Linked DNA regions of Coturnix japonica. The protein of the gene in region 1 interacts with the protein of each later gene in a pairwise test. Links are inferred from orthologs where the notes say so. Each region holds a gene or a part of one and is shown on either strand. Other genes may lie near its edges.

Region 1 (3,908 bases):
TCACTGTTTTTTGAACTTCCTCCGTTGACTGAGGATAGGTAGTCAGCAGTGTCATTCCCAGTTTTACTATCAGACATGGAAAAACAGATATAATGACTTTTTGAGCTTACAAAAATTAGCTTATCAAACAAGAAAGTCTAGAAAAGTACCTTTTTCCCTGCCAACGGCATACACAAGACAAGTTCTTTATGTACTGTGCATGTAGCTTTCGTTTAATGTATGTTGAGCCACATGTTATTGAAAAGACCATTCACCCAAATGTTCAACTGTTCCTAAGAGGTTTTTGACATTTCTAACGTTATCCCCTGCACATCTTAGACACCAGATGACAATGCTGATGTATTAGAGTACGGAAAATAAATTCTGAGTAACTTAAAACAGGACAAGTGAAATTAACGATGAGTTATCTATTAACTGCAGAGAACAATATTTTCCCCAACTTATTCTGCAATGGTTACTACCCTTGAATGAAGATTCTATTTCTGAAAAAATAACAAAACTAAAAGCTACCTTGAGTAACTGTCCGAATTATTAGGTTTTCTTTTGTTTGATAGAGCACCTGTGCTCATAGTTCTTGCCACACTAGGAGGGGTTGACATCCGTGATTTTGTTGCACCTCTAAAACAGAAAAAGTTATCAATTAATTATATACACACACACAAGAATAGATTATGTGTTACATACCAAAATTAGTTCAACAATCCATCCATCACTTTACTGTATTATTAATAACTTATTTCCTATGAACACCAGACAGAAAAATCTTTGCCACAAACTTGCTTGCTTTGGATTGCATATAAATGTAATCCTGTACTGCAAGCTAAATGATGGCTTGCATTTTGACATGATAGCCATAAGTAGAACCCACTCTATTGATCACTTAGTATATTCTGTGGTCTTCCTTGACAGACTCTAAGTCATTTTATAGTATTGGCAGGGATTTCAGGGAAATAGAAAGCAGCAGTCCGCAGGTCACAATGAACTGGTGACTCTTATTAGCATCAGTATACAATTTCTAAACTCCAGTGCACACCCTAAATGCACCAAACATGTCTGTGCTTGCTTTGGTGAGTGGTAAAAACTTCAGAATTCCCTAGAAAAAAACTCTGCAGCATAAAGGGAAAAAAAAATAAAAAATAAAAAAAAAATGGGAAGGAACATCCTTTTTTCATCAGTGATCAGGGACAGAATTTTTCTTCATTGCTCAAGAAAATTTCTATTCATCAGGATTTCTTCCTTGGCAAGGACTTAGTGACTATGATATCTTGCACATGACCAACCAAGTTTTTCTGTTCTCATTCTTGAATGCTGACGAATAAATTAAAATTGGGACAGGCTTATGGATATTAAGAAATATTAATACAACATCTCACATAAAATTTAGTCACCAAGAGCCTGATCAGTAAGAAAAATATCCAAATTTAGTCACCAAGAGCCTGATCAGTAAGAAAAATATCCAAATTTAGTCACCAAGAGCCTGATCAGTAAGAAAAATATCCAACAATGATTTTTTCCAGATGAGCCTATCTGCTCTTTTCAGAATTACAGACAACATACTCTTGGTTATGGTTTTCCAAGTATAAATGAAGAAAAAAAGATAAAATACGGCACTGACACAAGTGAACAAAATTTAAGATTGAATCAAGTGAAACTGTATTTGGATAGAACATTCAAATTTAACAGGAATGGCTTCTGCATTCAACAGGCATAATGGAATTGTTGGAGATTCTGGCACACTGGGCAGAATACCAGCTTTTTCTCCTTTAATTTTCCTGACTGCTCTCTTACTTACGAAGAAATTCTAAGGATGTTTTAATTAAAAAAAAAAAAAGTGCAGATTGAAAGGCACTACATAATTTCTACATAATTTTATATCAGAATTAAAACCTAAGTTATATCAGTTTTTCAGACTTCTAGGATAAAAGTTTTAACCAATTCAAATTATGCTGTTACAAGTATGCACAACTGTACAGGTTGTAAAAGCTAGCATATGTTATCTTCTCTATCTCACTTAACATTGGAAACAGACCTTCCCTTAAATGTAAGTAAAATTCAGTAAAGCTTAGTTGTGCAGGAAACACATACTGGACTTTTACTCGCTCTGAAAGCTAGGAAAGTATATTAAGAATAATTCAGCTGAAGTAATAGAAACAGTGGACTGGGGATCAATGATGATGAAAGAATGAATAGAACTGTGTCCCAGTTCCTGTTTAGGCAATGCTAGATACTTTAAACCAAATTCTTCTAATCTATCAATAAGTCACAGCTTTCTTTTTCCACCCCCCACAGATTTTCATCATCTTAAAACCATCATCTGAATGGTGCCCAGTATGGCATACAAGCTACTGATAAAAACAGAAAAAAAAAAACCAAAAAAAAACCCCCAAAAAGCAAAGTACTGAAAAACATGGCAAAAAAATCCCCTCAGATATATTCTCAGTCTTGACTTCTACATTTTCATGAGTAAATCAACAGCAGAAGTAGTAGGCTGCCACTGTCTGTAATTTCATGCTCCCCTCATCAAGGCACTAAAACTAGAATCAGATTTAACAAACATATGATAACCAGTTTTGAAACTGAATCTGCACGGTGCAATCTGATCTACAGAGACAGATGTCTTCCAGCACGGTCACAGATTCTTCATCATCTTCCCCTCCCCTTTTATCCTTTTGCTTCTTACTAGGATCCGAAGTTGAAATATTTTTAGGATAAAGCCAGTATATTTCAGCTTTGGTTACAACACTAAAACAACACTGCAAGATTTAAACATGTTTATGCCCAATATGGCCTACGTAATTCGTTACTAATTACTCTTCTGTAATAAGCTTTGAGGTATTTATGAAAAAAACAGTCCATTGTAATTTGGAAGATGTCAAATTTTATTACAGTGTTAACATCATATAATTATTTCCTTTTTAAAAGACAGAACATATTTTCTTGCAAAGCAGCCTTGATGTAAATCTTTCAACATAAAATCTTACTTATACTCCTGGATAATTACAGCTATCTTACGGAAGGAGAAGGAGGAAATATTTGACTTCAAGAGCATAATAAAATTCCTTTGCCATAAAGTATTTGTGTGCAAGGCAATCATAAAGTTATCAGCTGTTCTACAGGTTTAAATGCTTAAGCTTTGCATCATATCATTTCAGTTTTATCTCAGCTTTACAGGGCACATTACTCTGAGTGCAGAATCAATGACAGAAGAAATCAAACCTGAAGAACATTTTCATCACCTTTCCATTCCTACCATGATGCAATTTGCCTAATGTGAAAGAAATACTTACATTAGTTATATTCCCACAACATTTATAATGAAAATGTACTGGGAAGCAGATATCTATCAAGGCCACACTTCTAATATTCCAATGCTTTTGAGGAACATTTCTGTACAACTGACAAACCAAGCTCATTTGCAATACTTACTTCTTGATAGGCAACAATTCATTTGGTCTTTTGATGGTACTGTCTGTTTTTGTATCAGTGTCATAAAACCTTTGCACATCTCTTCCAGTTCGCAGTGGTGGGCCTAACTTGTCCATCTTACTACTAAAATATATAAAGTGGTACTCATAAGGAGATTGTCAGATTGCTATTTAAGTTATTAAAAAAAAAGAAAAAAGTACTTGCAATTACATATCTATATTCTCATAGAATTCTTATTTACCAAAAAGACATTTATCTGACACAAATCCAGCAAACAGGAAGGGAGTTCTTACTTTAAAAAGGGGGTAATTTGGTAGGCTTATAACTGAATTAAAATTCCAATGCACATATTAAAAAAAAGAAAAAGATAAAATTATTGCTAGTTATATTTATAGTTTACATAATACACTCACACTTGGGCTTTTTTCTCATAAGAATCCTTTTTATAACAACAAATTCATCCCCATCTAGAAAACAAGGTT
Region 2 (4,390 bases), on another chromosome or scaffold:
ACCCCGAGGTCAAAAAGGGGATGAATGAGTGAGACCCAAAGGGGTGACACCGATGTCCCCAGCCCCGTCACTCACCTGTGGGAGTAGAAGAGCACATCGATGAGCATGGTGGCGATGGCAGGCAGCGTGTCGGGTGCCACCGTCAGGATGCAGAAGCGGTTCTGGGGGCTCTGCACGGGGTGCAGCGTGGGGCTGGGGGCTGCGGGGCAGAGGCAGCGATTGTCACCGGGGCCTTTGGGGACAGCACCGCAGTGCCACCACGTGGCCACCGGGCCAGCGGCGTCCCCTGGGGTGCCAAAAAGGCAGGGGTCCCCAAAGCACGGGGGGTGTCTGCAACGGAGCGTCCCTTGGGCACTGGGGACGGGGTGGCCTTGGGGACATCAAGTGACGCTCACCCGACTTGGGCTTGAGGAACCCATTGCTGGCATCATCACAGGGGACTGGGATGGATTCACCGTTCTCCTCCTTGTAGATGTCGAACTCCCCGGCCAAGGTATGAATGACCACAGGCAGGTCCCGCTCCCGCACCTGGCAGCGGCGCGGCATCACCGTGGCTGTCCCCAAAGATCAATGGGGTCCCCACCATCTCCCACTCAGCCCCATGGCACCATCCCCACTGAGCTCACCAGGATGAAGTCGGTCTGGTAGGTGGAGAGCATCAGCACCGAGACGTGGTGCTCGGCCAGCGGCGCGATGACGGAGCGGGCGATCTTGGTGACACCGGTGGCCTGGCAGCCAGAGGGAGCGCAGCCATTGGAGACAACGCTGAGCACCAACCAGGTGGAGTCTGCCACCTGCATGAACTCGGAGGGCGGCAGCTCTGTGTGGGACAGGGAAAACTGAGGTATGACACGGGGCTGTGCTGTGTCCCCAACCCCAATGGGACCCCGCTGAGAGGGGACAGTGGGTCCCAGTCTATTATGGGTGCTGGAGGGGGCAATGGCTTGATCTAAGGGATGCAGGAGGGGATGCTGAGGGTGGCTGCCCTCTGCCTGCAGGCAGCAAAGACATCGTGCACCACAGGGTGTAACGCTGCGTACATCCCTGCTCTGATGGCACTGCAGGATGCTGAATGCCAGCATACAGGGACATGAGTCAGTGCTGTCCCCATGCAGCAAGGGGCAGCCCCACACACAGGGCTGGGAGCGCTGATACTGGGAGCAAACCTTCCAATCTGGGATGTGCCTCTCGTCCTGCACCTGCAGGGCTGGCCACGAGTGGGTGCAGCACACTGAGACCCCGGGGCTGTGCACATCTCCCACCCCATCCTCTGCCTCCCGTGTCACACCGGAGGGGATGTGGGATGTCCTCACACCGTGCCCGGCTCTGACAAGCCGTAATCCCTGAGGCTGAGCCCATGCTGGCAGTAGACCAGGGCTGCCTCCCAAAAAGCTGCTGTTGTTGGCAGGGAATGAGTGTGCCGGCCGGTTCCTTCCTGCCCCACGCCCGCTCCCCAGGAAGGAACGGATCGGGGCCACGTTGTTCCTTCGGCACCCAATATCTCCGGGTGGGCACCCCCAGACCTCACTGCCCGCTGCTCAGCAGCAGCCATTCAGTAACAGGCTGAGACCACCCCGCTCACTGCAGCGATGAGGGAGGAGCGAGGCCAGATGTGAAGGTCCCAAGCGCAGGGTGCTGGCAGCTGCTTGTTCCTGCACAGGAAGCCTTCCCGGGGACGGGGACCGCGGTGCCGCGTCCCCACTTAATGGCTTTTCAACACCCGTGGGCTGCAAGGGGGGCTGCGATCATATGGGTGCCCCCAGATGTCCCCGTGCCTTGGGGAGCAGCGGGCCCCAGAGCCTCACCCGGCCCCAGAGCCGTGAATTGTAACCCGGGGGTGCAGCGCGGCCCCATGGGGTGCCTGGGGGTGCTGGCAGCCCCCCAGCCCGGCGCCGTGCAGCGCCTCACAGCCATTGTTTGCCGCTTCCCGCCCGCCCCTCGGGATCGAGGAGCATTATGTCCAAAAGGTCCCGAATAAAACAATGCGTGGGGATCGGCCCCGGTTCCTCCGGGCAGCGGTGGGGAGCTGGGCTGCAGCCGGGTGGGAGCGTCGCATTGCGGCCGAGCCACTGACCTTTGGTCCTCAGGGCGTGAGCAGGAGATACAGCCCGGCCGGGGGGGGGGGGTCTGGAGCAGAGGATGGGGTCAGGATTGACCCCCAGCACAGCCCGTGGGGTCAGACTCCACAGCAGGGCTGCACACAGAGCGTCACTACACAGCGATGTCACCCGGTGCCACCTTCCAGGGACAGGGACTCAAAGACCCTCAGCACGGCCCGGCAGCGGGATGCGGGGAAGGGCAGCACTCCCACTCCCCGCCCCGTCCCATTGCGGAGGCTCAGCCGCGTCCCCGTGGCTTTAGGCAGCACCGGAGCTGCCAAACAGGGAGAACCTGAGCAGGGCAGTTCCCTGCCGGCCGCTGACCGCACAGCTCCGAGCATCGCCGGGCTGAGGCCGGCCACAACTCATGGCCGCAGTGTCGGTACCTTTGAAGCCCTCCTCGTCCAGCATGATGGTGTAATCCTCGGGGGTCTCGGTCAGGCTGAAGAACTTACACCTGCCGGGACACAACGCGGTGCGGTGGGACCGAGAGGAGGAGGAGGAGGAGGGAGGGGGGGGTGAGGAAGGGGATCGGTACCTGCAGCGCTGCGGCAGGAAGAGCAGTTTGAGCAGCGGGTGGGTGTAGAGCCACAGCCCGCGGCGCGCCAGGGACAGCACCCGCACGCGGTGCTCCAGGATGTGCAGGTCCATGGCGGCCGCGCCGCGACGGGACGGGGCTCCGTGGGGCTATAAGGGCCCAACGGGACCGGACCGCCCCGTCCCGGCACCGCCCCGGGCTGCGGGAGGGGCACCCGCCCGCCCCGCCCCGTCCCGTAACGCGTTGGGGCGCTCTCGGCCCGTATCCATCCAAGTCGGGGTAGGGGGGGGGGTCGGGATCCGCTGAGTTCACGGGAGGGGAGGTGTGCGGGAACCAGGGTTCTGCCCCGCAGCCGCTTCGTGGGCAGAGGGATTTGGGGAAGGGGGGATGGAAGTTCTTGCACCATTCCTGCCTGCAGGGAGCACCATTTTGTACGTGGAAAGCAGAGAACGGAGGCTGCGGGGGGGGGGAGCGGAGCTGCTCCCGGTTCTGCTGCGAGATGGGCAGCCGGCCGAGCTGCCCCGGGGCTGGAGGTGACCTCCAGGTGCGTCAGCACAGCTCGGCGTCTCTCATCTGCGCTTCAAACAGCGTTGGGCCCCGGGGCTGGGAGGGGCAGCGAGGCGGTCACCTCCCTGCTGTGTCCCCAATGAACCCCTTTACAGGACGCTGCAGGACACCGGGGTGGGATAAAGGACGGTCGCACATCATCAGGTGGGATGCACGAGAGAAGTTCCCCCGCAGTTATAGGGATGCTGCCACTGAGTGATGCCACCTCTGACCCCGCAGCCACCACCAGGCAGGGAAGGGAGGCCCCAAACCACACTGCGTGCACACAGCAAGTGTGAGCAACAGCATGGAGGGGATGGAGGGGATGGAGCACCCCTGTCCCCCGCCACGGCACCCAAAGAGACGTTGAACCCACGGAGCCGCACACGCTGCGCCTTTACACAATCCTGCTTTATTTCCCCTTTGTACAAAACCACGTTGCCCCGCTGTATTTTACAAAGCCTCCCCCTGCCCACGACGCAGGGTAGGGGGGAAGAGAGGGGACCCCGCAGCAGGCAGCACCCCCAGCCCCGGCTCACCTCGGCCCTGCAGGGCACGGGGTCTGCCATCCAATCCTGCTGCCTCCGGTGCGTCCCGCCTGCAGTTCCCAACCTCGGCCCCCGGCCTGCAAGAGTTACTGCCATGGAGGAATAATAAATAGGCTCAGTGAATAGGTAAATTCATACTACATATTGGGCTACAGCTTGATACATCCTCACTAGATAAAGAGGGGGGGGTGGGGAGCAGAGGCTGCTCCCAACTCCTCACGTACCCCCAGCCCCAAACAATGGGGAGCTGGGTCTGGGTTTGCCCCAACAGCATGGGGTGGGCAGGGGATGGGGGGAGGGTTGCAGGGGACGTGGGGTGATGGGATGAGGAGGGGGGGGCTCGTGCCTGGCCCCTGAGGGGCGGCGGAGGAGCTCAGGTGGCTCAGCCACCCTGTGCCAGGGCTCCAACCACTGAGGTGCCAGCACCCTGCAGGGCTGGGGACAGCACGGCTGGATGCACCGCCATGTCACCGCGCTGGGTTGAGCTCCCACTGGTCACCCCACGGGACCCTAATTGGGCACCCAGCCGGCGCCCCCACGGTGCCACACGAGCCCACATCAGCCACGTCCTGCTCCCTCCAGCCCCGAGCCCCCGTTGCCAGGCGCCACGAGGGTCCCCTCCCACCCTGGGGTCCCCCCTCCTGCCCTCGGCCGCAGAG

The links. The genes of interacting proteins can lie anywhere in the genome.
Region 2: the proteins of ZC2HC1A (region 1) and CASTOR1 interact in binary tests that used the Homo sapiens proteins (3 or more experiments, as listed by UniProt). The two-hybrid records come from large-scale screens. The link is inferred for Coturnix japonica from reciprocal best matches to the Homo sapiens genes ZC2HC1A and CASTOR1.

What each region holds. Positions count from the first base shown.
Region 1 is NC_029517.1:109,106,450-109,110,357, reverse strand, and holds part of ZC2HC1A (zinc finger C2HC domain-containing protein 1A), read right to left. Parts: intron 3,550-3,908; coding exon 3,427-3,549; intron 619-3,426; coding exon 511-618; intron 76-510; coding exon 1-75.
Region 2 is NC_029530.1:9,678,793-9,683,182, reverse strand, and holds the start of CASTOR1 (cytosolic arginine sensor for mTORC1 subunit 1), read right to left. Parts: upstream 2,832-4,390; 5' UTR 2,751-2,831; coding exon 2,638-2,750; intron 2,557-2,637; coding exon 2,486-2,556; intron 821-2,485; coding exon 627-820; intron 529-626; coding exon 396-528; intron 200-395; coding exon 76-199; intron 1-75. UniProt on the Homo sapiens protein: Functions as an intracellular arginine sensor within the amino acid-sensing branch of the TORC1 signaling pathway. As a homodimer or a heterodimer with CASTOR2, binds and inhibits the GATOR subcomplex GATOR2 and thereby mTORC1.